Linked DNA regions of Arabidopsis thaliana. The protein of the gene in region 1 purifies or fractionates together with the protein of each later gene. This does not show direct contact. Each region holds a gene or a part of one and is shown on either strand. Other genes may lie near its edges. The genes, in order: AtCDC48B, AT1G09640, Cpn60beta3 and PBF1.

What was found.
Region 2: the proteins of AtCDC48B (region 1) and AT1G09640 fractionate together in Arabidopsis thaliana (co-fractionation; one large-scale study listed by BioGRID). This does not show direct contact.
Region 3: the proteins of AtCDC48B (region 1) and Cpn60beta3 fractionate together in Arabidopsis thaliana (co-fractionation; one large-scale study listed by BioGRID). This does not show direct contact.
Region 4: the proteins of AtCDC48B (region 1) and PBF1 fractionate together in Arabidopsis thaliana (co-fractionation; one large-scale study listed by BioGRID). This does not show direct contact.

The regions. Positions count from the first base shown.
Region 1 is NC_003074.8:19,720,673-19,729,129, reverse strand, and holds AtCDC48B (ATPase, AAA-type, CDC48 protein), read right to left. Parts: upstream 5,781-8,457; 5' UTR 5,715-5,780; coding exon 5,686-5,714; intron 5,589-5,685; coding exon 5,423-5,588; intron 5,195-5,422; coding exon 4,966-5,194; intron 4,846-4,965; coding exon 4,079-4,845; intron 3,992-4,078; coding exon 3,416-3,991; intron 3,322-3,415; coding exon 2,641-3,321; 3' UTR 2,002-2,640; downstream 1-2,001. Other genes in the region: AT3G53220 (Thioredoxin superfamily protein), read right to left, coding at 6,515-6,734, 6,833-6,858, 6,964-7,098; UMAMIT6 (nodulin MtN21 /EamA-like transporter family protein), read right to left, coding at 7,366-7,555, 7,650-7,801, 7,883-8,285, 8,422-8,457.
Region 2 is NC_003070.9:3,116,530-3,124,069, reverse strand, and holds AT1G09640 (Translation elongation factor EF1B, gamma chain), read right to left. Parts: upstream 4,332-7,540; 5' UTR 4,062-4,331; intron 3,954-4,061; 5' UTR 3,909-3,953; coding exon 3,900-3,908; intron 3,683-3,899; coding exon 3,533-3,682; intron 3,445-3,532; coding exon 3,384-3,444; intron 3,284-3,383; coding exon 3,231-3,283; intron 3,112-3,230; coding exon 3,010-3,111; intron 2,900-3,009; coding exon 2,410-2,899; intron 2,298-2,409; coding exon 1,918-2,297; 3' UTR 1,528-1,917; downstream 1-1,527. Other genes in the region: AT1G09645 (uncharacterized protein), read right to left, coding at 834-915; RAB11c (RAB GTPase 11C), read left to right, coding at 4,499-4,663, 5,232-5,720; AT1G09625 (uncharacterized protein), read left to right, coding at 6,503-6,727. UniProt on the Arabidopsis thaliana protein: Probably plays a role in anchoring the complex to other cellular components.
Region 3 is NC_003076.8:22,872,070-22,880,421, forward strand, and holds Cpn60beta3 (TCP-1/cpn60 chaperonin family protein), read left to right. Parts: upstream 1-1,598; 5' UTR 1,599-1,802; exon of another isoform or gene 1,803-1,839; intron 1,840-1,975; 5' UTR 1,976-1,988; coding exon 1,989-2,192; intron 2,193-2,267; coding exon 2,268-2,393; intron 2,394-2,481; coding exon 2,482-2,619; intron 2,620-2,708; coding exon 2,709-2,804; intron 2,805-2,892; coding exon 2,893-3,135; intron 3,136-3,223; coding exon 3,224-3,458; intron 3,459-3,558; coding exon 3,559-3,728; intron 3,729-3,805; coding exon 3,806-3,883; intron 3,884-3,970; coding exon 3,971-4,042; intron 4,043-4,122; coding exon 4,123-4,227; intron 4,228-4,327; coding exon 4,328-4,420; intron 4,421-4,499; coding exon 4,500-4,592; intron 4,593-4,668; coding exon 4,669-4,795; intron 4,796-4,883; coding exon 4,884-4,897; 3' UTR 4,898-5,338; downstream 5,339-8,352. Other genes in the region: GulLO4 (D-arabinono-1,4-lactone oxidase family protein), read left to right, coding at 1-353, 450-551, 636-1,351. UniProt on the Arabidopsis thaliana protein: Involved in protein assisted folding.
Region 4 is NC_003074.8:22,470,314-22,477,098, forward strand, and holds PBF1 (N-terminal nucleophile aminohydrolases (Ntn hydrolases) superfamily protein), read right to left. Parts: upstream 3,627-6,785; 5' UTR 3,497-3,626; coding exon 3,450-3,496; intron 3,316-3,449; coding exon 3,208-3,315; intron 2,736-3,207; coding exon 2,654-2,735; intron 2,546-2,653; coding exon 2,416-2,545; intron 2,331-2,415; coding exon 2,188-2,330; intron 2,089-2,187; coding exon 2,002-2,088; coding exon of another isoform or gene 1,998-2,001; intron 1,800-1,997; coding exon 1,725-1,799; 3' UTR 1,456-1,724; downstream 1-1,455. Other genes in the region: AT3G60810 (DUF1499 family protein), read left to right, coding at 266-402, 487-543, 624-746, 836-902, 1,010-1,102, 1,182-1,295, 1,390-1,443; ARP7 (actin-related protein 7), read left to right, coding at 3,985-4,287, 4,490-4,631, 4,880-5,121, 5,198-5,381, 5,467-5,687. UniProt on the Arabidopsis thaliana protein: Non-catalytic component of the proteasome, a multicatalytic proteinase complex which is characterized by its ability to cleave peptides with Arg, Phe, Tyr, Leu, and Glu adjacent to the leaving group at neutral or slightly basic pH.

The DNA.
Region 1 (8,457 bases):
AAACGTGACTTTCAACTTTTTTCAGAAAGGAAACTTGATTTGTATAAGTAGAAGTCAGCATCATTGACGAAAGAGATGGGGGAAAACATGGTTGGTCTCATAATTATTGTCCCGAACAGATTTTAAGGAATTCCTTAACTCTACTATTTTATTGTGTTGTATTCCACTAACTGTGAATCGGTGGAGAGTTTTGTTGTTTTGCTTCTTATTCCTTTGGACGTTACTACGAAAATAGGGAGAAAAGAGGAAGATATATACGTCAGATCAGTGTGGTGTTTTGCAATTCATATCACATATTGTCATATTCACATTACTAACATATAACATTAGAAAAAAAAACAGATAACAATAGAAATATCTTAAGTAAGACATTGCCACATTAGTCACATGGGTAATGTTTGGGACTAATTTAGACTTCTAGCCTTAATTACAAAATTTAAAATAATAAAAGAGAAAGATCATTATTCATTGGATTGCAAAAGCCGATTGGACTCAAACAAGGAAAAAGCTAAGAAAAGGGATTTGGGACCCGTTGGGGTTGGAAAAGAAGAGAGAACACGTGCATCTCTCTGACATACGTTGAAACCCAAACACTTGCCTCCATTTTCTTCTTTCGAATTTATGATTTTTGTAATCTCATGACTATTTCCATCAATTTCCATCTATTTCCATCAATTTATCATATTCAATAGTATCAATACAGTATAATGCCAATATCTTCACTCCTTGAACTTTCATTGACCATTGTTGTATAATATATTGCATTCCGTTAATTAAGTTATGTATAATTTGTATCTATTAGTGAATTACTCATCCATTTTTTTTTTACAACTAATTACTCATCCATTTAGATGACATAATTAGGTTTTCTAACAATAAACATCCAAAAAGATAATAATAAACATAAAAAGGTTTTGTGCTCGCGTGTGATCAGTTTATGAGCTAGACCCCCCACGAGGTGGTGTCTTTTGTAGCAGTCTTTGTAGACTTCCCACGTGCGGCTTGTGTAGATTTTATCCAAGAGAGCGGGCCAAGTCCAACCCCAAGACCGTCCTCTTTCGTGTGTCACATGCATATTTTTCTCTATAAATTAAAGTATAAATCTTATAAGATTTTCAAGGTGACTAAAAATTTTCCATTTTGAAAAAAATTCTGCTATGTTTCTCCAGTCAAAACCAATATGCCAATATATCGTAACGTGCAAGCTAACTTGATTTTGTACAGAGACTTATGCTTTAGTATAAGTTTTTAATTTGAATAGAAAACAAGATTTTGGATTACCGTGACGTGGTCGTTTGAGCGTTAAGAACAATCGTTATAGATGATGAAATGATCATGCATTTTTTTACTTTAAAAGGTAATTTATTGCGTCGATTTTAGGCCTAGTTGTAGTTCCGTACTGTATATGATGACAATATTAGACGCTAGCTATGATGGTCCTTCTGACAAGGATCGTGATTGTGCGATCGTCTCACTCATCATAAGTTTGTTTCTTGTGTAGTAGTGGTGCATAACTGTATATACTGATATACATACTTTACTGTGAGGATGACTTATCTTGCGGAAAAGAATCTAGATGCACGAGATCACGCATGGTTAATTAAAAAAGTCCAAAACATCAATCTTTTATTAACAAACAAATAAAGTATTTATGTGTGTATGTTTGTATATAATCTTACAATTACAAAACTGTTATATGTGATACAATCACGAAGAATGAGAAAAGAAGTGTATATTCTCAACCTTCTCTCAGGTTACACAAATGATTCTATCTGTATAACAAAATTCATAAGATTTATCATGAAGACTTTATAATTAATATTTGCAATAATCAAAAGAGTCCAAATGAGATATGTTTGAGAGATGAGCACAACAAACTCGAAAAGTAAATTACCCACAATGTCACCCAAAAGAAAGAAAAAAAACACAAAGTTTTTAACTTTTTTTTTTGTAAAAGGACTTCTACTAAGTGCAAAAAGGTTTTATAGAGCGATTTTCATAACTTGCAAAAGTAAACAATGTAAATGAGTGAAAAATTTGAGGAATTTTTAGTTGGACTCTTTTTGAACAAAATTTGACATCGTCTTTATTTTTGTTATAATCTTGATACATAACAGATACAGGCCTTATGCTGCAATAAAGTTGCAGGAGAGGATTATGCTTGAACCAGCTTGTACCAAATTGGTGGTCTGGATGAGATCAGAAAACAAGTTGAGACAGGACAACCCTTTAGCGGTGAAGATGAACTTAACTATTGTGTTAACTTTGTTTACGTTCCAAGTCTGGTTCCGCTTCCAGAATAAATAAAGAGAGAGAGACTCGTGAGATCTCAACTGTGCACTTCTATTTTATATAAAGAAGATATTTCAACAATTACATCAGTTTGATGATTCTTTCTAGTTAGGGTGTAGAATCTGTGTACTCGCAAAATCTGTGTATGTATATCCGGTTTCCTTTGGGATGAATGCAGTGTTCTCATTTCTCTAGATTTATTTCATCATGACACCATCATTGTTCTAGAGTCTCAACGATTATATACAAAAGACTTATAAATAAAACACAACAAAGACCATCGAAAGTTTTTCAAGCAGAACAAAGTTAAAGACTAAAGAGAGTAGTCACAGGGTCTGATCAGACCTTTCAACTGTAGAGATCATCATCATCCGCTGCTCCTCCGGATGTGGCAAACGGGTCGACTCCCCCAACTGTGGCAGCAGCTCCAGGGAAAGCTCCAGTAGTCCCTGTCGGCGCATCTGGAAACCTGAACTCGCTTCCAAACCCACGTGATTGCTGGAGAGTCTGAGCAAAAGCCTGATACTTGCGAATGTCTGCATCACTCACTGATCTCCTAGCGTATTTCATGGATTCCTCAAAGTGACCAGCTTTAATCTCTGCAATCTCCTCCTCATCCTCTTCCATTGCTTCTGGCGACTCTGCTCTCTTCCTCTCCTTCTCAATATCCTTCTCGATGTTTTCTCTGATCGCATACTTGCAAGAACGCTGGCAAATCTCTGTGATGTCCGCACCACTGAAGCCTTGGGTGTACTTAGCAAGAGCCCTCAGGTCAACATCTTTCGCCACAGGTGATTTCCTCAAGCAAGACTTAAAGATCTGGTAACGAGACTCCTCATCAGGAAGAGGAATGTAGATGAGCTGATCGAGACGACCAGGACGCAGAAGTGCAGGATCAATAATGTCTGGTCTGTTTGTAGCTCCGATGATGAAGACCGTCTTCTTAGCATTCATTCCATCCATCTCCGTAAGAAGCTGGTTCAATACTCTATCTGCTGCACCACCAGCATCTCCAACACTGTTCCCTCTCTGTTATTATAAGAGATGTTCATTAATTTTTCTGAGATAAAGGTAAAGGGCATAAGTTGCCTAAGTAGAGAGATTAAGAAACCAAGTACAATACCTGAGTGGCGATGGAGTCCAGCTCATCAAAGAAAAGAACACAAGGGGCAGACTGTCGTGCCTTGTCGAATATCTCTCTCACATTGGCTTCACTCTCTCCAAACCACATTGTGAGGAGCTCAGGACCCTTGATACTAATGAAGTTGGCTTGACACTCGTTCGCAATAGCCTTAGCCAAGAGGGTCTTTCCACAACCAGGGGGGCCATAGAATAGGACTCCTTTAGACGGTGACATCCCAAACTTCTCGAATTTCTCAGGATGCTCCACTGGATATTGAACAGTCTCTTGGAGCTCCCTCTTGACATTCTCAAGACCACCAATGTCCTCCCAAGACACATTAGGCACCTCAACGACAGTCTCACGTAGAGCTGAAGGATTGCTGTTACCAAGGGCAGTCTGGAAATGATCATTACTGACAGCCATAGAATTGAGAATTTCAGCATCTATCTCCTCGTCATCTAGGTCAATTACATCCATCTTCTCCCTAATGCATTGGAGAGCAGCTTCAGTGCATAATGCTGCAAGATCAGCACCAACATACCCATGGGTGTCTTTAGATACTCTTTCCAAATCAACCTGAATAAGAGAAAATAATGTCAGATCTAAACAAATAGAAAAAGGTAAAAGAAAAGAAGAAAATAATTATATGTAACAGAACATTACATCTTCCGCAAGCTTCATGTTCTTGGTGTGAATCCTGAGAACTTCAAGACGACCAATCTCATCAGGAACACCAATATCAATTTCTCTATCAAAACGTCCAAATCTTCTCAAAGCAGGGTCAATGCTGTTGGGACGGTTGGTAGCTCCCATAACAATCACATGGGCTCTGGATTTAAGACCATCCATAAGTGTCAAGAGCTGGGATACAATCCGTCTTTCAACTTCTCCGTGAGTCTTCTCTCTTTTTGGAGCAATCGAATCGATCTCATCAATGAATATGATCGAAGGGGCATTCTTCTCAGCTTCCTCAAACGCTTTCCTGAGGTTACTTTCACTCTCACCAGCTAGCTTCGACATGATCTCGGGACCATTGATACAGAAGAAAAATGCACCAGTCTCATTAGCAACAGCACGGGCAATAAGTGTCTTCCCAGAACCAGGAGGGCCATAGAGCAAGATTCCTTTGGGAGGTTTCACACCAATAGACTTGAAGAGCTGTGGATGCCTCAATGGGAGCTCAACAAGTTCACGAATCTGAGCCATTTGTTTCCTGACACCACCAACATCATCATACCCAACTTCATCCAACCTCTCCTCATCCTCTCTCTTTATCGGTTCACCTTCACAGAAAATTTCTGTATCTGGAGCAACCACACAGTACTCAGCAGGATCAGTTTCAATAACCTTAAACTCAATACTTCTCATCCCTCCTCTAACTAGGAAAAGATCGCCCTTCCTCACCGGACGATATGCCTCTAAGAAATAAGCTGGCAATAAAAAATAAAAAAAACAGACATTAAACTACTGTGATAAAAACAGAACACATCAAGAAGCATATAAGCAGAGCACAACTTAAATGACAAAAACAGGGAAGAGAAAACGCTTACGTTTAAGGTATGCATCAAATATATTGCCACTTACTCCTTCAATGGTATCATCTAAAGGTAAGATGTGAACACGGTTCCCATACTTGACATCAGGACATTGATGAACAGAAATAACATCCCCAAGCCTAACTCTGAGATTAGACCTAACAACCTTGTTCATTCTAATTTTTGGTTCATCACATGTCTCATCAGCTAAAGCAATACACACAGTATCCTTCCTCTTCTTTCCCTGCAACCACAGATTCCCAAAACAAAAAGAGAGAAAACAAAGATGTAAATACACACAACTCAAAGAAACTATCCCAAAACAAAAGCATGAAAATTGAAAGACCTAATTCAAAAAACAACCCTTCTGATAAACCCTAGCAGCAAACCAATGAACAATCACAAAACCTTATAAACCCTAATTCAGTAAAGGAAACAAGAGAAGAAGAGCCTTAAAATTCAAAAATCAAACCTTGATTAAGATAGTATCACCACGAAAAAGCTGTAGCTTCTCCATGGTATCAGGGTGAAGAGAAACGACGGAGTTATCATCGTTAATGGCTTCATCCACAACCAAACGATTCGCTGCCTTCTTTTTCTCCAGAATCGCGGTGCTAAAATCCTTCTTCGTCCCCTTCCTGAGATATTCAGAGAAAAAAAAATAGAATTAGAAAAACCCCAACACGAAGACTAACAAAACCTTAAAGAGTTACTCAGTAATTAACAAGTACTTACGAATCAGATGATTCAGCTTGATTCGCCATGTTTGATAATCGAGTAGAGAGAGAGAGAGAGCTTCGCAGAGAAGAAAAAGAAGATTCGAGAAGTGTAAATAAATAGACAGGTGTGTGTTTTATTTATATAGAAGACAAATCCGTTTCTTGTTATCAAAGAAACGTTTATTTTATAGTATTTGTTTTCCATTATTATTATTCTTTTCTTCTATTTTTTTTTTATACATCTTCCAATTTAGAAAAGCTTCTAGTATGTTCTTATTTAGTTTTGAATAAACATTGTGATAATTTCACAAGAGATTTTTTTTACAAATTCAACAAAGTTACGTTTTAAAAAAAAAATTACGAAAAGAAGGTCGGTCTTAATGGGCAACAATAAAAGTTTTAATGGTTGATATTTTTTGTGGTGGAAGACCGTCCAATCTCAAACCTGACCCAAATTAGAAAGTTACATTAACCCAATTCATTCCTGGAAAACAAAACCGTTTAGAGGTGAAGCTTGGTGCTTTTGAGATTGGCAAGAGTGTGATTTAGAGACTTCAATGTTTCTCAAGGTCATTATACCCGGTTAAACCAAATTATTTGAGAGGGAAAGAGCCGCCGTGAGGAGCTCGGTGTTCATATTTATTTGTCAAGAGTTGTATCATGAATGTTAGCTCCATCCTCTGTTTAACCTTTGATGTTTCTGTAAGTTTATCCCTAACATTAATCTACCAAAGTCCAAACTTATTCAGGGGATTATTGTCGAAGAGCCAAGTATTTTTTGTGTTGGCATTTAAAGTATCACAAAAGGAATGCAGATTTTCATAGTTAATATTTGATGAACATATTCAAGAGTGAAGCCAAAGACGATCATGGAGCCTCTGTTCACCAGCTCCAAACATCTCATCGACTTTCTCGCCGTCTCTGTAAAACTGAAACGTGGGTGTGTAACGGATGTGACGAGTGGTTTCAGGGCACTCGTCGATATCTGCATAAACAAACTTGAGCTTCGAGAAACTGTTGCTGAGCTTTCGGAATGCAGGAAGAATCTGGCTACAAACTCCACACCTGAAAGTTTCAAAACAAAACCGTTCTCATTGAGGCATTTCATCGAACACTTTATAAGCATGAAAAGCGTAATCGTAAAAACAGAGAATAAGGTGTACCAAGAAGCTCCATAGTTAATAACAGCCTGAATATAACAAAGCAAAAACAAGAAGAACAGTCAGATTACGAAAAAAAACCAGCTTCGGTCTTAAAAACGTGTACAAATGTATAAGTTGTCGTGTGTAAGAACCGGAGATTTGGAAGACTTTATGTCGTCAAGAATTGTGAGGAAACTTTGGTCGTTTGGTGCGATTTTCACATTTCCATTGTCATTTGATTTGGATTCGAATTCAAGATTCGCTCCCTCTGATTCTTGCTTTCTCATTTTTTTGTTTCCTCTCTGTTTTTGTTTGTTTGGTTTTTAAAAGCGCCAATTTTGATCCCTCCAGGTTATAATATCATAACCTGAACCGAACCACAACTCTACTCACCTAACCACTGTGGCACTAAACCCAAACCAATCGATTTAATTCTAAACCGATTTTAACCAAATTTATTTTTATCTCTATTTCGTCAACCGGGTCCATTTCGATTTTAATGAGGAAGAGAGTAGGAACTAGGAATTTAAGACATAAATAGGATCTAACAAAATTTAGGAAGAAATTAATGGTTGACTAATAGGAGATCTTGGTTTATTATTATGGTAGTCTTCTTCATCACCAAAATCTGATGCTGCTGAAGAAATCATGTGTTGTTGTTGTTGGCAAAGAGCTTGATTCTCCCAACTCTTTCCCATCACAACTAAGTATAGTCCACTCATGATTAGTATTGCACCTATCAATCTGACCAAAACAAACATTAAAAAATGTGTAAGAAACTTAACTATAAGATATGAAAATAAAACGCATAATGAGTCAAAACATATAGATAACATACCCTCCAAGGTAAAAGTGTTCACCAAGAGCTAAAGTAGCTAAAACAGCAGCAATCAAAGTTTGAAGAGGCAAATACGCTGATACAAACAGAGGTCCTCCTCTTTCCACTACATATATTTGTATTGCAAACACCATTGCTGAACCAACTAAACCCTGAAATATATTCAAACTCACACCAAAATCAATCACACCATTCAAAAGAGTCTTAATCTAAGAAAATAAACAAACACTTACAGTGTAGAGTAACGCGTATAATTCGCCTCCTGATATTATCTTCCACCTCTCTAGATCTCTCTCGAAATAAGCCGAAATTCCAAAGAACTGTATCACTGCGAAAAAGCAAGAATAGGAGACGAAGGAGAAGCGAGCTGGGTACTTTTTAAGCAATGGTGATTGTAACACAATCCAACTTGACCAACATAAACAGTGACCCATCAAACAGAGACATCCCAACGTCCAGTTCTTGTTTTCTTCCTCTGCTTCTTCAGGTTTAATAGTTTGGTTCACTATATTCAGACTCGGTTGGTAAATGGTTGGTCCTTTATAGAGTGTTATAACCAAAGAGCCTGCGACAGATACAATTGTCCCCACCACTTTGGCTATACCATCTTTCCTCTTCCATTCCACCTTCTCTATTCTACAATTGTTGGTGTGTCATAATAAAAATGAGATATGAGTGGTATCAGAGCCCACTTTGAGGGTCCACAATAATTGGTCCGCAAGATACACATCTTGTTTCCCAAGTTATCTCCAATAAAGAATCAAGAACATACCCGAGCAACGCTGCCATGAGGAATGAAACAGCAGGA
Region 2 (7,540 bases), on another chromosome or scaffold:
CTCTTAGCATATACAACAAAAAAAAATCAAGGTTTATGGTGTCCTCAAGTGCACTCGTGACTGTAAAATCTTGTCGTGTAGACACTCACTAGTCAGCTAAAGCTACACAGTCTATCCTCAAATAGTTACCATGTTTCTTATATTCGACTAAAGGGGAACAACAACAGCTACACACATAGACAACAGAGAACAAGATCAATTGCAACATGCATTTAAAGAAATTTACGGGAAAGAGAAAGAGATGAGCCTACTTCTTTTAAAAGCACATGGTGGCCAATTGTATAAATAGCTTATGTAAGAACTTTAAATGTCTGAAAACTATAGGCAACAAGTAAATACATATCTCATTAGTCAACTGCAGCATCACCATGAAACAACTGAGGAATTATATAAATACTTGTCACAAAAGCAATAGATTTTGCAGACAACCTCTTCAAATCAGGACATGGTCTCGCATTTAGGACAAAGGTAAACAACTATTATCCAGTGAAGTTAGTAAAAGAAACTATAACCACACCAAACCCATGAACTGAACGGTAAAATCCTCTTTGCTTATTTTCTCTTCACTAACATGTTAAGCACAAAGTTAGTGATTTGGCCAAGATCTACTCAAAAGAGAAATACAATCTTCCTATCTGCATGTTTCGATCCTGATCGCAAAAGACCTAATGCGTAAAGATTAAACACACTGTAGTATTTAGAAAGAGCCAAGTTGAGCTAAATATAACATAAATCTAGCGAATTGAGAACCTAAAATCCCAAAGGAATACTAAATCAGATGAGGATTCTACAAAAAAGTGAAATGAAATCAGATAGATCTGAAGAAGACGAACCTAAGAAGAACTGCAAACCAATCGAAGCGAAGAACAGTAAACGCCGCCATGAAAGACCACCAGTTGCTGAGTTCTGTCTCATCTCTCTCTGTCGATATGATTTTTCTGCTTGTAAGCAAGAACGGATCGATCTTTACTGCTGCAGAGAACAAATTCTTCTGGTGGAACAACTTTTGATGTTGAAATTAGAAAAAGGGAAAAGAACAATTCGACCACCCAGATTTTCTTTACAGGATTATATGCCTTGTAGCAGTAAAGAACAATTCATTTCGCTTGAGACCAACTTTATTAAATACGTCATTAATAAATTGATATACACTACCTTTCTTTTCTTATTTTGTGACCAATCTAACATATAGTAATATTTTTGGTAGTTACCAATCTAACGTATAATATAATTATCTATACATTTCTCAGCGAAACAATAATTTTTTATTTTTTGGTCAAACAGCGAATAATAATTATAATCAGCAATTTGTATATATAATCTGATACGAAAAATATTATGAACAAATGTTACATTATTTTGTCATAAGTTACATGTTCTTTTATTAGAGTTGTGTGGCGTATTAAGTTGTCTACCTTTTTTTATTCGTTAGTTAATTTCGAGATGAACATGCCAGTTCTTCTTCTACGAAATTAACTAGACTTATTATTCTTCAAGAGTTTGCTTTTTCAGCAATTTTTAAAATTGGAAAAATGTTCAATATATGTGCCAAAAAGACTTTACCACTAAATGTTCAACTCAAAGACCAATGTATATAAGTTGACCGAAACGCGTCAAAGAAAATCAATCAAGGCAAAATTACCGTAAAACAAATAAACCAGACCATGTATTGCCTATTGCCAGGGTAGACTGGCCGGTCAGGATTTCGAAAACTGGTATAGTAAACAATTCTGGACGGAGGCGAAACATTAACAAAGAACTAAAAAGACTTGTCCTTGACACTCGATTAGAAAAGAAAAAAACAGTCTATGCGACACGTCACAGAGCAAAACCCCTATGTGAGACAGACAGATAGAAAGATATGTAAAGCCCCAGCTGCAAAACCTGTAAATGGAAGTACCAAACCATTCTCTCTTCTCACTTGAAGCACTTGGCGTCCAAGAGAGCCTCACCTTCAAATGGCTCTGCGTCTTCAATCATCTGGCTAACACGCTCCTTCTGGGCTTCATCTGAGATATCAACCTTAGTCCACTCATACAGCTCCATGTCGTACACCTCGTCCATTATGAACTTTGGGATCTCTGGTCCACGGAACAGCCATAAACCCTTCACCTTGAACGGACCCTCTGACCCACAAATCAGCATCTTTCCAAAGGAGTATTTACGTGCCAAGTCCATACGCTGAAGGAACCCACCAACCTTGTTGAGCGTGACAAATGACACCATGTTCTCATCGTTGTACTTGTAGTCACAGAACCATAGTGAGTATCCCTCTGGGTCATACATGTCCCAGAATCCTGCATTTGAGCCACAATATTAGACATGATAAAAAACAATTGATTCCAATAGCTAAATAATTCCCTGATAGCAAAGCTGAAAAACTAGGTAGAGGAAGATATCACCACACACCTTTAATAGCAACCTCGCGGAAGTTAGATTTGGTGTTTGAGTAAAGCCTCTTCCAATCATCTAGAACCATAGGGCTTGGTGGTAGCAAGTCAAGAGGGTTCTTGGCTTTGGGCTTTGGTGCCTCTTCCTCTTCAGCAAGCTTAGGTGCCTCTGCTACTGGGGCTTCCTTTTTCTTAGGCTCTTCTTTGGGCTTTGCAGGCTGGGCAGCTTTCTTGGAAGCAATAGGAGGGACAGCTTCAGTCTGTTTGACATCACCCAACACTTTAGTGAAGTTTGGTTGGTTAACCACAGTCCAGAAGTACCTCTCAACATGAGGAAATTCAGAGGTAAATTTCTTGGTCATGACAGTAGCAAATCCCAAGTTCAAGTTGCAGACAGTGATGATATCAGCAAGGGTAATAGAGTGTCCGACAAGGTAAGTGTTAGACGTGAGATGTGTGTTCAGAGCATCAAGTGCTCTCTTCAACGTAGAGATCGCACCTTCTTCAGCCTTCATTTATATAACAATCACGGATGAGACTATTTATATAGTGAAAAGAATACCTAGATTGCCATCACAAAGAGTGAATGAAACAACCAATGAAAGTCAAAAAAGCTTACCGGAGCACTGTATGGCATAAAGCCCATTCTTGGGCCGAACCACCTCAAGATACTTGCATAGATCTCCAATGAAGAGAAATCAATCCATTGCTCAATTTGTGCCTGCGAAAAAACAACATGCAGATAACCATTGAGAATACTAACAAATAGAATGACAAACAATAGAAGAGGTGTCAATGGATTAGAGAAGAGTAGCCCCCAGGGAAAAAACAGCTACTTACATATTCGATCAGGGAGGATCCGTTCAAAGAGTTGTCACCATTCAATCGGCTTACTGTATTGAGATATCAACAGATCCATTAAACCCAAACGACAACAAGCAATCAAACTAGACACTGAGAGACAATTAAAGGAGAAAGTTATGAATGCTTTACCATAACGGGCAATTGCGTTGCTTTCAAATACTGAACCCTCGGGAGTCTCAAGTACAGGAACCTAGCAAGATCAATAACTCTTGGTTAGCTGAAAAATAGACTTAATAATACTCAGTCCAGAAATTTAGCAAACACCAGTGATGACAAACCTTTCCAATAGGGTTCATCTTGAGGAACGCAGGGGTTTTGTTAGTGACACCCATCTGAAAGTCAGAGGGCACATCGATCTGCACACCAACGTACTCTGCTGCAATGAGTGCCTTCTCAGCACTTTTGTTTCCCTTGTACGTGTGCAAGACCTGCAATCGTAATTCATCATCAGCACAATAATACGTATTCCAAATCAATAACTTAACAATAGAGTAGCTACATATCCAAACTAACATAATTTTAATCAATTTGGTGTATGAACAATCGTTCTATAAACTTAGATCCTAAAATTTACAAATCTAACGTTTCTACAATTATATCGATACATGATGCGATCGTAACAGTAGACAATCATAGAGAACTCACCAAAGCCATTGCTCAGACGGAATTCAAGCGAACTTGGGGCTTCTGATATCGGATCTGGTTCCAAGGAAAAAAAATCAAGCAGTGAGCTCGCAATTGACATGATCATAAATATGAATATGAGCTAACTGGAGAAAAAAAGATTGTTCGATCGATGGATCTTACCAGATATTCTGAAGAATCTTCCGTGAGAGCAAATCGAGAGAGAAGAAGCAAAAAGTTGAGGCGGAGAAAAGCTATAAAGGAGTGTTGAAGGGATGATGATGAAGAAGTAGGGTTTTTAAAATCTGTATTGAGTGTATTCCTCTGGTTTGGCTCGGTTTTGTTTGGTTTTATTTCTGATTTTTGTTTATTTTCCGGTTAAGCTCTAATTACTTTCCCTTTTATTAGCATGTATAAATGAATTACATATATGTAGGCTTTTTTAGTAAGCCCAACTTGACAAGAAAAGGTCTTCGTCGTTGGGCAATAACAAGCCGAGAAGGTTGAATAGAGAAGATCCAAGGGGAAAGAGAAATTAAATTATTTATTTATTTCTGTCATCTTCTCCTTTTCTATTTCAAAATCCCAAATCTAAAGCACTCCTCGAGAAAAGTGTAACAATGGCGAGAAGACCGGACGAAGAATACGACTACTTGTTTAAAGTGGTTTTGATCGGAGACTCCGGTGTCGGCAAGTCTAATCTCCTCTCTAGATTCACTCGCAACGAGTTCTGCTTAGAATCCAAATCCACCATTGGTGTCGAATTCGCTACTCGTACTCTCCAAGTACGCACACATCTCTCTCTATATATATAGTATATAGTGTAATCGAAATGTTGCTGGATCTAGGTTTAGTTCTAAGTTAAGCAGCATCCGGTGCTTTTCGATTCGATCCGTATCTGTGTTCGTATGAATACTCGGAAGCAGTCATTGTGTGTAGGAACATTTGGGCTTGGTTTTGAATTTTGATGTTTACATGTGTGGTGCCTGTTTTTTTCATTTGGTCGAGATTTTTGCTTTGGTATCTCTTAATTTAAGCGTTTTATTGATAATGTTCCCAAATTTGTCGATACTCTGGTACGTGGTAGTGTAAGGCTCCCTCACATGTCAGATCTAAAACCTTGTTTAAGGCAGATCTAAGAATCTCTTCATCTGAAATTGATCTCGAACATGATTTTCTTTTGAAGTATGAATCATGGTTGTTGTTTCACAGTTTCTAGTTTTCTTACTGGGTTGTTTGTGGAATTTAGCTGCGAAGTTACTAATTTTGTTGTTGCAGACACACTAATCATAGAGTCTGCTGCTCATTAGATCTGAATTAACCTATTAAAAAACCTATGATCTTTGTTCTAAGGTGGAAGGAAGGACTGTGAAAGCTCAGATATGGGACACGGCTGGGCAAGAACGATACAGAGCCATAACTAGCGCCTATTACAGAGGTGCACTTGGAGCTCTTTTGGTCTATGATGTCACCAAGCCAACAACGTTTGAGAATGTAAGCAGGTGGTTAAAAGAACTAAGAGACCATGCAGATTCCAATATAGTGATCATGTTGATTGGGAACAAGACAGATCTGAAGCATCTCAGAGCAGTTGCCACAGAGGATGCTCAGAGCTATGCAGAGAAAGAAGGCTTATCTTTCATCGAGACATCGGCTCTCGAGGCATTAAACGTAGAAAAGGCTTTTCAGACGATTCTCTCGGAGGTTTATAGGATCATCAGCAAGAAGTCGATATCTTCAGACCAGACAACTGCAAATGCCAACATCAAGGAAGGCCAAACAATTGATGTGGCTGCTACTTCTGAATCAAACGCTAAGAAGCCTTGTTGCTCATCGTCTTGAAAGGCTTTGTTTGTGTTGCACTTAAAAAAAGCCAAATATCTATGAGACTTTATTTCAAGGCTTGCGTTGTATTTGTTTTCTTTCTTTTTTCTGTTGTTGATAATATAACTCAAAGATAATTTTTTATATCAATTGTGGAGTTCGGAATCGTTCACACAAAACAAATTTTGGAAACGAAAAATATTTTTAGGGAATTAATTGTAGTTTTGAGTGGTAGTTGTAATGTAGTATCAGAAAAATAAGCAGAGTATAAAATGAAATAAACAAATACCAACGTAGACTATAGTTTGAATTTTTAATAGAGCAGAAATTCTTCGATTTCAAAGATAATTTAAATAAAGTAGACAAAATCACACAATATACATTTTTCAATCAAGAAGAAATGGAAAAGCAAAGAAAGGAAGTTAATTAAAAAAAAGGGGGAAAAAAAAAACGGAAGTCAACAAGAATACAGGCAAAACCAAAAATATATATTTGACGGAACAAAAAAAACAAAATATATATTTTATAGTATTAGTTTATGACATTATCTTTTTGCTAGTTTATGAGATTTATGAAGAAAAGGAAATATACTTTTAAAGTTGATAAATTGAAAAAAATTAGAAGAATGATTTACTTTTATTTTAGTTATTTTCTAGCAAGTTTTTTGTCAAAATGGTAAATTTCCAAGTCTTTCGAGTAGTTCCCGCCTCCTATAATATCAACAACTTTTAAGCAACTTGTAATCATCAACAAACAATTTACTTTGTTTCTTTGTCACTGAAAACAAATACATAAAAAAGATGGAGATCCCAATCTGGGGATGGTGTATTATCGTCGCAGGAATAATAATGGTGACGGTTTTATGCAATTTGCTCGATAGGTGGTGCTCGAAACCTCTTGAGATAGAAGAAGATGGTAAAGCGTCGTCTTCTGTAACTTTGGAGAAGAAGGATCCAGTGAAAGAAGATGGTAAGAGCAAGACGAACGAGAAGGCACAAGCTAAGCCAAATAATAATCTCGTTTGAAGAAAATTTTCAATATATTTGTTTTGCATCCCTTGTTTTTATCATATAGTTTTCTTATTTTTAACAAAGGTTAGACTCTTGAGAATCTAAAGAGTTTGAAAGATGTTATCTATGTATGGTTTCTTTATCTTATCATAACTAACTAAACATGTTGTGTGGTGTTGATGAAAGATTGAAAGGATTAATCAATCACATTCTCTAGAACCAAAGTCGAGAATTCTTTTAACTATTAGTCTCTTAGATTTGCTTCCATTACTAATCTTTCAAGTTTGAGGTGTAACTCAAATTTCTCAACATTTTTTTTCATGCAAATCTAAATTTCTGCAAATACAATGAAATTATACCATTAAACAATCCACCATATATAATATACGACATAAGCATCGCACAATAAAAAACCAGTAACATTTGAAAAGGGGAGGAGAAAGAAAACATGAATATTATTTAACAAAAAAAAAAAAACAAAAAAAGAAAAAGAAATTGAACGTCTACTAGTTAAAAAAAAAAAAAAAAAAAAAACTTTGAAGTCCCCAAATATCTGGGCCTTTTAGTGGATGTGGCCCAAATTCTAAATGGGTTTGACTTGGATCCGGTTTTGGCGAGACTAGTTCAGTTTAATAATCAGCCGTCGAATCCAAAGACTGAAGAAGGTAGTCTTAAAGAAAAACCCTAGAAACCATTACTTATCTCTCCCACTGGCTCTGTCTCTGTCAAATCTCGGATCGATTTCGCGGTGGGCTCGATTCGTGATTCCTCAAAGTTCATCATCCCTAAGGTAATTCTCTCCCCAAGCTGGTAGACTCAATCTACCGA
Region 3 (8,352 bases), on another chromosome or scaffold:
TGGGTATGTAAAGGTTCAGGTTCTTAGCGAGACTATAGATCCGGAGGAATTTCGCGCAGCCAAAGTTTCTCTAGGTGTTCTTGGTGTTATCTCTCAAGTAACTTTCGAATTGCAACCAATGTTCAAAAGATCGTTAAATTATGTTATGAGAAACGATTCGGATTTCGGAGATCAAGCAGTGAGTTTTGGCGAAAGACACGAGTTTGCGGATTTCTTATGGTTACCGAGCCAAGGAAAAGTGGTGTATCGCATGGATGGCCGAGTTCCGCTTAATACTTCGGGAGATGGCTTGTTCGAATTTTTCCCATTCCGTTCACAACTCTCTTTAGTGTTAGCCATAGATAGATCCTTAGGTAAATCTTTATTTCTCAAGATAATTAATACCAATATTTTTGATTTGCATAGCTATAATGTTTCTTATATATATACTTTTGCTTCATGTCATGCAGAGGAGAGTGAAGAGTCACTTGAAGATGCAAACATGAAGTGTGTGAGGGCAAAGCTAGTATCGTCGTCTATGTTTTTAATGTCATACGGTGTGACTAATAACGGTATTTCTTTTACTTGCTTATACATTTGTTGATTGTTTCGATATAAGATTATACAAAACTTTCACTAGTAATTTCCATGGACAGGCCTAATATTCACAGGCTATCCGGTCATCGGAATGCAAAACCATATGATGTCGTCAGGTTCATGTCTAGACAGTCGTCAAGACGGACTAATCACGGCTTGTCCATGGGATCCACGGATAAAAGGCCAATTCTTTCACCAAACAACATTCAGTGTTTCTCTCACAAATGTCAAAAGTTTCATCAACGACATCAAAGCACTTGTGAAGATCGAACCGAAATCTTTATGCGTACTTGAAGGCAGCAACGGTATTCTCATCCGCTATGTCACATCCTCTCTAGCATTTCTCGGAAAAGAAGAAAAAGCTTTAGATTTTGACCTAACTTACTACAGAAGCAAAAATGATCCATTGGCACCGCGTCTATACGAGGATTACATTGAAGAAATCGAGCAAATGGCGATATTCAAATACAATGCGTTACCACATTGGGGGAAGAATAGGAACCTAGCGTTTGATGGTGCCATTAGAAAATACAAGAACGCAAACGCGTTTTTAAAAGTAAAAGAGAAATTTGATTCTTTAGGATTGTTTTCCACTGAATGGACTGATCAGATTCTAGGTTTAAAAGGAAACGTGACGATTGTGAAACAAGGATGTGCATTGGAGGGACTATGTATTTGTTCAGAGGATTCTCATTGTGCTCCTACCAAAGGTTATTTATGTAGACCAGGTAAAGTTTATAGAGAAGCTAGAGTTTGTACTCGTGTAAGTTCCTAAATCCTAATCAAAGTTTTGGTCCTCAGTTCTGTTATATATCAAAAACCTCATTCCTCTCTCTGCTTTAAGAGAACAGAGCAGTCTCTGTTCATAATTGACAAGCGAAAACGACGTTGTATTGAATTCGTGACACGTGTCAAACAATGAGTAGTTAATCAAAGTGTCACTCGCACGTGAAGAGAGTAGAGTAGGTGGGTTTAGGGTTTAAGTGTTCCAGATTCTTCCAAATTCAGTTGATCCAACGGCTCAGACTTAACCTGAAACCTTTGAAGACGCGATCCTCGAACTTCACCAGTCCGTTTGCACTATGCAACCAAACACACTTTGTATCGAATAAATTAAACAAAAATCATAACTTTACAATCGCATAAATCGACTTTCATCTTCTTCACAAGAAAACCTCTCTCAGTCGCTAAAACCCTTGAACCATCTCTTGATCGCTAGCTTCTAAGTAAGTGTATAGTTGAATCATTTCGATCAAAGTTTAGGTAAAAAGTTGTTTGCTTTCAGATACCCTTGTTTTGATTTGTGTCGATGATTACAAAGTTTTACTTTGATTTGTGTCTTTAGGGTTTATTAGATTCATTCAAGCTATAAAGTTTTGATTTTGATCTGTTTTTGCAGAGAGTGAAAAACCATGGCATCAACCTTTAGCGCAACGTCGTCAATGGGTTCATCTTTGGCTCCTCCTTCGAATCGATTGTCATCTTTTGTTTCGATCTCATCAAGCTCTTTTGGAAGGACTCAGAGTATTGCTCAGAGGAAAGCAAGGTTTCCTAAAATATATGCGGCTAAGCAATTGCATTTCAATAAGGACGGGACTGCGATTAAGAAGCTTCAAGTGAGTCTATTCTATTTCGGTGATTTTGTGACTTCTAGTTCTTTATTGAATAACTTATATCATTTCATTATGTAGGCTGGTGTGAATAAACTTGCGGATTTAGTTGGGGTTACTTTAGGTCCTAAAGGCAGGAATGTTGTTCTAGAGAGCAAATACGGTTCCCCTAGAATCGTTAATGATGGTGTTACGGTCGCTAGAGAGGTAACGGTGTTATCTCTTGTTGTGTCTAATGTGTAATCAGGTGTGAAATCGATTTGTAGATTTTGAAAAGCTTTTGCTGTTTGTTTAGGTTGAGCTTGAGGATCCAGTTGAGAACATTGGTGCTAAGCTAGTGAGACAAGCTGCTTCCAAGACTAATGACTTAGCTGGTGATGGAACAACGACTTCTGTTGTTCTTGCTCAAGGTCTTATTGCTGAAGGTGTAAAGGTTTGTAATTTATTGTCTTTCTTTTGTGAATTTGAAACAACCAGTGTTTTTTGTTGTTGTTGTGATATGATGTGGATTGAATTGTGTAGGTGGTAGCTGCTGGTGCAAATCCTGTTTTGATTACCAGAGGTATTGAGAAAACCACCAAAGCTCTTGTGGCTGAGTTGAAGAAAATGTCAAAGGAGGTATTGTTGACTTAATTAGATTCTTAATCTAGCTCTTTTCATGTGCTTTAGAGGATTCTTGATCATGTAGCTCTTTTCTGGATTGCAGGTTGAAGACAGTGAACTAGCAGATGTTGCAGCAGTTAGTGCAGGAAACAATTACGAAGTAGGCAATATGATTGCAGAAGCAATGGCAAAAGTTGGTCGTAAAGGTGTTGTCACTCTAGAGGAAGGCAAAAGCGCTGAGAACAGCCTTTACGTTGTTGAAGGAATGCAATTTGATCGTGGTTATATCTCTCCTTACTTTGTCACCGACAGTGAGAAAATGTGTGCAGAATATGAGAACTGCAAGGTATTATTATTGTTTATACAGTTAAATCTTAATAGCTGATAAAAAACCGCAGTATTTTTTGACTATATGTCTCTTCTTGCTTTTGTAGTTGTTTCTTGTTGACAAAAAGATAACAAATGCTAGAGATATTATTAGCATTCTGGAAGATGCGATTAAAGGTGGATACCCGCTTTTGATCATTGCTGAAGATATTGAGCAAGAGCCATTAGCGACTCTTGTTGTTAACAAGCTTCGTGGGACAATAAAAGTTGCTGCTTTGAAAGCTCCTGGATTTGGAGAGAGGAAAAGCCAGTACCTTGATGACATTGCTGCGCTTACAGGAGGTTAGACCAATATACTAAGTGTTCTTTACATTATTGCTTCTATATTAAAAAAAAGCATGTTTAGTTTCTCAAGTTGCTGTGTTTGTTTTTCTCTTTGTAGCTACTGTGATTAGGGAAGAAGTTGGACTTCAGTTGGAGAAAGTTGGACCAGAAGTTTTGGGTAATGCTGGTAAAGTGGTTCTCACAAAAGATACTACAACGATAGTTGGTGATGGAAGTACTGAAGAAGTTGTGAAGAAGAGAGTTGAACAGATCAAGAATCTTATCGAGGTACATCTCAAAAAACATTGAAATGTCCCAATAAATTGGTTTTATGTTACGGTGATTAAGTCTTTGGGTTTGTGTAGGCTGCTGAACAAGACTATGAAAAGGAAAAGCTTAATGAGAGAATTGCTAAATTATCAGGCGGTGTTGCTGTAATTCAGGTGAGATACTAAGAAACAAATCACATGATGCAAAAAGCGTAGCTTAAGGTAATAAGAAGAATAATCTAAACGTTTTATATTCTTTAGGTTGGAGCACAAACTGAGACAGAGCTTAAGGAGAAGAAATTAAGAGTTGAAGATGCTCTTAATGCTACAAAGGTAACATCATCTCTAAGCAAAGAGCCTTGAAATGTTTCCATCCATATGGTAGAGACTAAGTTGTTGGACCTTTTAATTAGGCTGCTGTGGAAGAAGGTATTGTTGTTGGCGGAGGATGTACTCTGCTAAGACTTGCATCGAAAGTGGACGCTATTAAAGAGACTCTAGCAAACGATGAAGAAAAGGTTAGTCCAGAAGAGTTGCACAGCAGAGAAAGATAACATGAATGAGGAGTTTGCCGTCTGCGGGTTATAACGCCATTTTACAATTCATCTTAACCTCCAGGTTGGAGCTGACATTGTTAAGAAAGCATTGAGCTACCCACTGAAGTTAATCGCCAAGAACGCTGGTGTCAATGGCAGCGTTGTCAGTGAGAAGGTAATCAATCTCCTTAAAAGAATGCAAGTTTGAGTCTTTTGATATAGAAACTAAGTCAATGGCTTTTTTCGGTTGACAGGTTCTTTCTAGTGACAACCCTAAACATGGTTACAATGCTGCAACTGGCAAATACGAAGATCTCATGGCTGCAGGAATCATTGATCCAACCAAAGTGAGCAAAGTTCCTTACTTTTTCACATATTGAAATCTGCTGTTTCGGGTGCTAACCGAGTTTTCTTCTTTTCAAGGTTGTGAGATGTTGCCTAGAGCATGCTTCATCTGTGGCAAAGACATTCTTGATGTCTGATTGTGTTGTTGTGGAGATCAAGGAGCCTGAATCAGCAGCTCCTGCTGGTAACCCTATGGACAATTCAGGTATCTCTTAGTTCTTCTTCTTGAATCCTCTGAATCATTAACAAAATCTGCAACTTTATTCTTACAAAATTTCTCTGTCGGTTTTCAGGTTACGGCTTCTAAGTTGGCAATTGAGAACAGAGTAGTCCCTGATGAAGCAAAAGCCACGACCAAGTTCTTCACTTCCTGATCTGAAACTTCTTTAAGCCAATGTAAATTATATGTTTTTCCAGTGACCTGAAGAAACATATAATTTGGTTCTGTGTTCTCCGATTCAAGATCAAGTTTTTCAATATGACAACTTCACTAAAGAGACACAGTTTGCAGTGCTCAATAGACTTGATTTAGTTAGTATCATTTTCTTTATTTCAAATTAAAACGAACGAGGATATGCACAAAATCATGAGCAGCAACAAGCCAACAACCAAGCACAATACTAAATTACTACTTTGTTTGTGGTTTTTTGTGGCCTCCATAGCCAATATCTTGATACTTTAAAATTGTAATCTATTTAATTAGTTCAACAATTCTCTTTACCTGAGCATAGACTATGACATAATGTGGAGTATATTGTCTATTACTTTAAAACTTTAAAATGTTCCCCAAACATTAATTAAAAAGACTACCAAGTAAACATCTGTAAAGCTGAGAAGTTTTTTTCATTTTGTATGATCTATACTAAATTTAACAGAACTATTATTGATGATATGTTTTTATATATATGAAATTTGGAGAATTTGTAAAAATCAACCATTTCTAGTGCTTATACTAACAATCCACATCATAATCTTTATTTCTTGTTCGTTCATCGATCTTTTTTTTTTATAAAACCACATTAGTTGAGTTTCAGAGTTGTCAGCAAACTGAAGAAAGATAGTAAAGTAAGTGATCTTCCTAGTAATTTCTTTACAACTTTTTGGTTTATTCTTCAATATATACAAAGTAATAATCGAGGAGAGAAATTTTCTAAGAGCATTTTCAAAGTCAATCTTACTTTAAAAGCTTCGAGTGGGTTCCACTATAACTCTGAGTCTCTGACACACACTCTTTCGTAACCTTTTGTTGTTTTTTCGGGTTTGTTCATAACTTTTTTTTTGTAAACCAAATTTAGAGTTTTAAAGTTGATGATGAACCTACGCAAACGCAAGAGATAGCTACTTAGTTGTCTTCCTTGAAATTTCCTTACTAACTTTTGTTTTCTTGTTCAACCTACCAAAAAGATTTGATGGGAAAAAAAATTATACACTTTTAAGAGCATTTTCAAAGTTAATCATACTTTAAAAACTGCAAGTAAAGTTATACTAGTTTTGCAAAGACATGAAACGATTCTAGCCACATATTTTCTTCTATTTAAACGAATTTAATCGTTAGTGTGAATTATAGGACATATCTATTGCAGATCCTAGAGCAACCCATTTCAGTTCTCTTAGTTTTAGTTATAATCATACTACCATAGCTTCAAGAGGCAAAAGCCACCACTAAAGTTTTCGATGTCCGATTTAAACACACATATTTATCAATGTAAATTATATGTTTTTACTTCTGGTGACTTGACGATGAGAGTTAAAATCTGGTTGGCTTGAGAAAATTATAGTTCGGTCGTGTTATCCAGATCGAAACAAGTGATATTTGAGCTGAGAATTGCATTGAACGTTTTAAGCTTGTAGATCACGTGTGAATGGAGAAGATGTTTGATTGGAATAAATTGATAGACTGTGAGCTATGCAAATTAGGGTTCCAGTTGTGCTTGTCACCATTCGCTATCTCTATTTTTCTTTTCGTCTTCAAGAAGAATAATATATTAATAAAATAAAAAAAATTGACGGCCGAATGATTTGATTGATTTTTATATATTTATATTTTATTTGAAGTATAAAAGCTTAACCTACTTCAAAGGAATCTGTTAGTTCGAATTTACTCACGATACTGTTATTCAAAAAGATTAAAAATTTGAAAAGAATCCGTCAGGTAGTTTCCTAAATCCTAAGTTATTTTCTCATGCAATTAACAAAAACAAAAGGTTTTCTCAAGACTTTACTCTTCTATTTTTAGAGATGTTTACGATTTTTATTTATTCCTCTCAGAACTTACAAATTCGTATAAATTATATTCTTTACTATTTACTCAAAAGAGTGAAACACTACAAATAAAGATGCTCCAACTAGATAATGGATTTAAGGTAAAAGGCAACAATTTAGTAGTCTTCCTAGAAACTTCTTTTCAACATTTGATTTATTAGTGCGTAGCAATTTGTTATGAGTCATTTTATCGAAATCGAGACATTCAAAAGTGAAACGTCAAGAGAGAGTTTGAATGGTGGTAATAAAAAACCGAGTGAGAGAAAGATTTGTTACATGGAGATTAAAGTTTGAATAACAATTAGCAAAACTCATTCATTTTCAACTAATTGTATGAAATGTTTAAATTATTTGTCTGAATAACATAATGATTACCAAACAAATAAATAAATAAACTAATTATAAATTAAAATATTTAAATTCTAAAATGATATGTTATAAATATAATTTTTATAAATTATAAATGACATGGTCTAAATACTTTATTTGTTATAAAAAAACAATATATAAGGTACATGCATACTCTCATCTCCTAGGAACCCTTAATTTTTCTACAGGTTTAATTGAGTCAAATCTAAATATTTAATGCATGTTATTGATAAGAAAAAGATTATATATTAACCTATAAGTGAACCTGCTAAAAAATGTGTGTTCTCACATCTTTCAGTCATTCTTAGATTTTTTACAAATTTAATCATTATAATCAAATCCGATGCAATGCATGCATGTAATTTTTTTTTGTCAACAGTTTTTATTTAGAGTAAATACAAAATTAAAAACAATATATAATAAAAAAGTGACTTAAAGATGTGATAACACGTACTCTCTCTTCAAAAAAGAATGATGTTTTGGTTTTTCACACAAATTAAAAAAAAAATCATTTTTATTATCTCTTAATTAGTTTAAATAAATATATTTCACTTCTCTCTTCTCTATCGATCACAAAAAATAAAAATAAAACATAATCTTTATCGAATAAAAAAAACTCAACACATCAATCTATTAACAAAAAAGAGAGTATTTTTTAGCTAGTTATCACATCTTTGGATAACTATTATTTTTTTCATTTTAAGAGTGAAAAAATCATGTTTTGCATCTTAGTAGTCAATAAATATCAATCCCATCTTAAAAAGTGTGTGATCTTTTTATGTTTTTTGATAAAGTGTTTAATCTTTGAATCAACGCATATCTTTATAAATCTGTATCACATCCATAATAGTCAAGTAACAAATATTGGTGGTGATGATACGAACAAAAAAAAGTACGAATGACAAAAAAAATATGCTCGTGGGAGATACAATACAAAGGTTAATGCTATAATTCCTAAATTAATCACATTAGAAACCTAATTAATTACTAACATACGTTATAACACGTGTATACATACATAAACTACGCGTAAAACACATAAATGTAGAGAGAGGGAGATATAGAAAAGAAAACAGAGAGGGCATTAATAAAACGAAAGAAAAAAAGGGACAGAAACGTACCCAAAGAAGA
Region 4 (6,785 bases), 2.7 Mb from region 1:
TTCTTGAAAATATTTCTACATTACGCTATTAATTAACTTGGTGTACCTATTAACAACATTTTACAGCTATCATAAAAAAAAAAAAATCCTATCATATCAGTTTGGTAGTTATATGTGGGTTTTCTGTTATTGGGCTCCTGAACGAACGAGTAAAACTCCAATGGGCCAATAATAGATTGATAGTAGTAAGCCCTGTAAGAAGTAACAAACTTCTTCTTCTTCTTCTCTTACTCCAAAGAGTAAAGAGAAATCCGAGCTAGTGAAGATGGCTTCCATGGCGTCACCGACCACTTGCTTGTACCACCACAAATGCCGGAGAAAACTTGTTTTCTATGCCCGTCGTATCAGTGCCTCGATTCCAGAGACTTCATATGACAAACATCCGAAGCTAATTGGTCGAAGGTACTAGTCTCTTTCTCTCCTGCTTGTGCTCGTGTTTATCACCGAACCAAGTATCTGATTTTGAGATCTTTGTGAAATTGGAAGAGATATCATTCTTAGGAGCAGTGAATTAGCTATGATCGGAGCCATATTCCAGCTTAGGTATGTTTTCTTCACCGGAATTCTACATCCCCACGGCTGAGGTGTTATTATGATGATGAAATATTTGTGAGTGGTTTTAGTGGGAAAAAACCAGATTATCTAGGAGTACAAAAGAACGAGAGATTGGCTCTATGTCCTGCCACTAATAACTGTATCTCCACTTCTGAGAATATCAGTGATCGAGTGCATTATGCTCCACCATGGTAATTCAAGAGCTTTTTGTGTTCAGATTTGGGTCTTCTGGTTTGAAATGTTTGATCATCAAACACTGTCTTGTTGTCCTGGTGGGCAGGAACTATAATGGAGGAAGGAAAACACCTGTGAACAGGCAAGTTGCAATGAAAGAGCTTCTTAATGTGGTACAATCCTTAAACATGAACTGCAATCTCAAGATATGAATCCAGTCACCATTTGAAGTTCTTGTAATCTTCCAGTAGTTACAGCGGTTTTATCACCATTGTTGCAGATTAAGTCGGTGAAACCGGATAAATTTACACCGCGGATTGTGGAGAAGAAGGATGACTACGTTCATGTGGAATATGAAAGTCCAATCTTGGGGGTAAGTTAAGTAAGCTTTATGTTGCTCTCTCAACCTCCATACCTCAATATATTGGACAAGACCCTTTGGTTTTTGACAGTTAGTAGACGATGTTGAATTCTTGTTCACTCCTGGGAAGAACTCGAAAGTGGAATATCGATCTGCATCCCGTAAAGGGAACTTCGACTTTGATGTCAATAGAAAGCGAATAAAGGTAACAACTCGGATACTCAAGTGATATATCTCTGTTATTGCCACTGGCTAATAGATAATATGCTCACACTTTTCTTCATTTTTTACCTATGGAGGCATTGCGACAAGAGCTAGAGAAGAAGGGATGGGTATCAGAGAACAGCTTCTGAAGAAAAGAGTTTCCAGATTCTATTCTTGTCTATTAAATATCTTAATGTGATCTATGTAAAAACATTGCCATAAATAGTGAGAGAAACATTGATTTAAGACAAGGATTCGAGTGATTCTCATACATAAGGAAACAGTTTTGGAGAAACTTCAAACACGAGTCATGATTTTAACTGTAAAATATCAAACCCAGTAGCATTTCATACGAGTTCTACAACTCAGGAAGCTCGATGTTGAAGTGAAATAACAAACCGATAAGGTTGGCTAAATGCACTAAAGGAGCTTAGTCTTTCCTCAGGTCCATGAGTTCGGTCTTGATACCGTCGGCCTTAAGTATCATAATCTCAAGCTTGTCTCCCTATTACAGTAAACAATCCACAAAGCATTAGTTAGAGAAAAAAACTTGAGGAAGATGAAGTAGTTGTGCAACGTAAGGGATATAGATTAAGTAAATGTTTTGGTAATATTTTGAAGACTTGAACCAAATGCAAATGATATGAGCACAAAGGCAAGCTTTAGGTGGCGTGGTGACAAAAGAAGACACAAATAGGACAACTTACAGTGTAGATATCCCTCTCTGTGGCAGATGCGAAAACAGTTTTAACCAAGTCAACTGCTTCAGCTTCGGAAAGGGGCGTGTTTGAATCCTACATGGTGGCAGAAGACGAACAAATAAGCAACAGAACGATTCATTTTATCTTTACAATGCGAAACGCCAAAAGCACGAATGAAGAATATCAACAAACCTGTTTAGGTAGCAAAAGAGGACTTGGAGACTTGAGCTGATTGTCAAGGAAAGGCATGATGAGTGTGGAACCAGAACCTTGAGCACCGTATCCAACTCTCTCGTATGAGCCAACAGCGTCGTAAGTAAAGACACACCCTTTTCCTGGATATATTCAAGACTAAAGATCACACAAAGTACCCTCTTCTAAAGTCACATCATAACGGAGAAAAAAAGAGGAGCATTTTACCTTCCTCGTCAAGCCCTCCTAGAACATTAAAGGCATAGTAGGGGAAAAACCGCTTGAAATAAAGCGTGTTGGAGAGAAGCTGGGCCATTGCAGGACAGCTCATCTGCTTGTTATGCTGATGTTGATAGATCTGAAGGAAACCAAACACAGAGAAAACACTCTTACACAAGTCTTTCATCATTTTCTAATACTGCGAAGGATGAAAGATAATTGATCAAACGACCAAAGTTTAACTCACCAAGTGTCTGGATTTGAGAACCTTCTGCAAAGCTTTCACATCAGCCTGGAAGCCAGAGGAAGACAAAACAGCTCTGTCCGCTCTGGAAAAGTTAAAAGAAGACAACAGCTTAACAAGAGTCTTACAAGTTACATAAGATGAAAAACACGAGAATTCTATCTATTTCCATACGAATGAATACTTGTGGTATATAAGATCAACAACACAGTAACAAACACTCTTTACGTAAGGTTGAACAAACTCAAAGAACTACACACATTGTCAATAAACGTTATAAGAAAACGAATAAGCTAAGCAATAAACCGGATTATAGAATGATCAATGTAATCACAAAGTTTATATAGAGATAATTGTAACCACTATCAAAAGCCATGTCTAATAATAATTAAGAAACCTATTTTATCTCCACCCATATATAACTGGTTTCACCCAGATCTACGAATTACGATTGCAAAAAAACCCTAATAATCTACAGCAATAATAGTTCGATTGCCAGCATGGAATCACTCTCCCAAAGAATCAACAGTGAGAGAAGAAAGAGAATGGGTACTTACAGTTTATGGATTTTGGAGTAATCGCGACTAAGAATACTGTAACCAGTAGACATCCGAGTATCGGCGGCGATAACACAGTAATCCGATCCAGCGATGGCCACACATGTTCTGAAAAACACACAACGATTAAATTCACAGTAAGTGAATCGTAACACAATCGCCCAGATAGCAAATCAGAATAAAGAAGAAAGACACTAAGCGAAGAAACCCAGCAGGTTGATTAAAGGTCACACGATCCGTACCCTCCATTGTTATCGTAAGGAGACCAGTTCGCGTGCTGTTTAGTCATGGCGGATTTGAGAGAGAAAGCTTTGAGCTAGGGCTTAGAAGAATGAAAAATGGCAGACGAAGCTTTCCGGGTTTGTGTTTTGATGTCAAAGAAACTTCCGAATCGGATCTTATTAGCTCTGGCTTTGTTAACAAGAAAAAGACGGAGACTCAAAACAATACCGTTTTGGACGTGGAAATTACGGGCTGTAATAGGCTTTATAATGGGCCTTATTTGGGCTTTGAATTCCAAAGAAATAATCTTTCTTTTCTTTTCTTCTTCTTCTTCGTCTTCGATTTTCTCTCTCAACGCAAACTCGTAAGCTGCTTCCATTTTCCCTTCTAGACCATTGATTTGTTCTTCGAAAAAACCGTTCTTTCTTTTGCCTCTCACTCTAGTTCCTTCTCTCATTTCTACTTCTCTAGCTTCACTGACTTGCTGCTACCACTAAATCTTGGCATTTGTGGAAAGTTGGGAATTTAGGGTTTTTGGGTGTGTGTGTGAAAACAATGGAAGCACTAGTTGTTGATGCTGGCTCTAAGTTCCTGAAAGCAGGAGCAGCAATTCCTGACCAGTCTCCTGCAATGATAATTCCCTCTCAAATGAAACGAATGGTTGATGATGGGTCTTCTTCAGCTGATAACCCCACCACTGTCTTTGAGGATGTCACTCTTGATCCTATTGAAAGGGGTTTGATTAGAGATTGGGATGCTATGGAAGATCTGTTGCGTTATGTTGTCTACACTGGGCTTGGATGGGAAGAGGGAAACGAAGGCAATATACTTTTTACAGATCCACTTTGTACTCCTAAGGTTCTTATCTCCAAATTTCCTCCTTTGTTCTTAATTTAAAAGATTACAACTTTGAGTCTCTTTTCAATTCCCATAATCCTGTTCTGTTGGATTATGAAAAGGAACAATTTTGTTCTTTTAGTACCTCATTTTAGATAGTAAGACGTTGTTATTTTTAATGTTTCGACCTGATTTGGCTCTGCAAATGTTTGTTTGTGGACAGGCTATTAGGGAGCAATTGGTGCAGTTGATGTTTGAAACATTCAATGTCTCTGGATTTTATGCATCTGAGCAAGCAGTGTTGTCCCTTTATGCTGTTGGACGCATCTCCGGTTGCACTGTTGATATTGGTCATGGGAAGATAGGTATTATAACTTGCTTGGCCTTTGTTACTCTTTGTGTCTTTCACTTTGTCATAAACTCATAATTCCATGTTTTATGTGAGTTATGATGTTACATGAGATGCTGATTCCCTATACTAACCTTTTTCCATGATCTTAAACGTTTTGTTAAACCAATTTTTTTTGGATTCTTCTTGTGTTTATAGCTGGATATGATCAGGATGTTGTTATGTCTGATGTTTTAACTTTGTGGTTGATCCAACTCTTTTCAGATATTGCCCCAGTTCTTGAAGGTGCAGTACAACACATTGCCTCGAAACGGTTTGAGCTAGGTGGAACCGAGCTAACTAAATTATTTGCCCAAGAGCTTGGAAAAACCAACCCGTCGATGAATCTCAGCATGTCTGATGTTGAAAAACTCAAGGAGCAGTATGCAAACTGTGCCGAGGACGAAATTGCTTACAAAAAAACCCAAAACTGTGAAATCGAGCAGCATACTCTTCCTGATGGACAGGTTTGTGTGAAATCAAGATTCTACATTTTGTGTTGTTACCTTATACATATAGATAACAAAACCAATGGCCTTATAGGTGATAAGCATCGGGCGAGAGAGATACTCGGTTGGAGAAGCTCTGTTTCAGCCATCAATACTGGGACTGGAGGAGCATGGAATCGTTGAGCAGCTTGTCCGGATTATCTCCACAGTGTCATCTGAGAACCATAGGCAGCTCTTGGAGAACACTGTACTTTGTGGTGGTACAACCTCCATGACAGGTACTAACAACACTTGATATCATAGTGTGTTTGAATATCTTTTGGGTCGGAAAACTGAAGGGTTTGTTGGAATGGTCGATGGCAGGATTCGAAAGTAGATTCCAGAAAGAAGCAAACTTGTGCTCATCTGCCATTAGGCCAACACTGGTGAAACCGCCAGAATATATGCCGGAGAATTTGGGGATGTATTCGGCTTGGGTTGGAGGAGCCATACTAGCTAAAGTGGTGTTTCCGCAGAATCAGCACGTTACTAAAGCAGATTATGACGAGACTGGACCATCAGTGGTTCACAGGAAATGTTTCTGAAACCATAGACTATAAAACGATGTTGTTGTTGTAGCTGAGGATTTTTTTTTTGGTTGGCTTTGGTTTGAAGATGTGGACCAGATTATGTAGTACATTTCAAATTATGGCTTCCAAATATCGACTAATATGTGTTCAATGAGCCCTTTTCTGAAAACATTGACAAGGTAACTTTGCCAATGCCAACACACACCCATTGTCAGTGGAACTCTAAATGGTTTTGCAGATATGTAACCAGTGAAACTCTTGGTTTTGATGCAGAGAATGGCCAAGATCCTCTTTTTCATTTTGTTTTGAGATCTTTAGTACTTGTACAATCAAATAACACAGTCCCTTTTTGTTTTGTTGGTGTTGTTTGCTGAAATTCGAGAAGGAAAGGGTCAGTGTTAATGTCTAAACAGAATTCAATTTTTTTTATTTTGTAAATTGGTTGCCTCTTTACCTTGTTACTTGTTGTTAGCTTATCTCATCCCTTCTCTCATCTATATAATCGGAAAAGTTTTTAATTAGTGAAATTTAAAATGGAAAGATAATTAGTAGATTTTCTTTGACTTTCTTGATTTTTTTTTCATAATTAAAAAAAAACTATTAATTCTTGAAATTTTGCACGCAACCCGTTAGATTCTAAATTGGTGACGTATATAAACTCAGAAGAAGTAGTAGTACCTTCTTTCACAAGACTCATTTTTTAACGTTCAAGAACAGAAACAAAATTCACTCACTTATAAGGTCTGTGACCACCAGAATAGTAACCATCTGTTGACGTCACAAGTAAAGGAAACCACCCAATCTCACTGTATTAAACGCATCTCTCGAAAATGTTCCCAAACGAATCAATGTTAACCACCTAAAGATACGGTGTTGTTGAAACAACTCTTTTGTTAGTATGTGTTAGTTTAGTACAATAAAACCTTTATAAATTAATAATGTTGGGACAAAGATATTTTATTAATTTAGAGAGATATTAATTTATTAATTTATAAAGAGAATTTTTGGTTTTCAGATTTTTGAAACTTTTCTATATGTAAAAATAAGGAGTTTTGTTATAATTCTATGATTTCAAAATTTCACTTCATAATTTTTTTGATGCGATTTGATGCG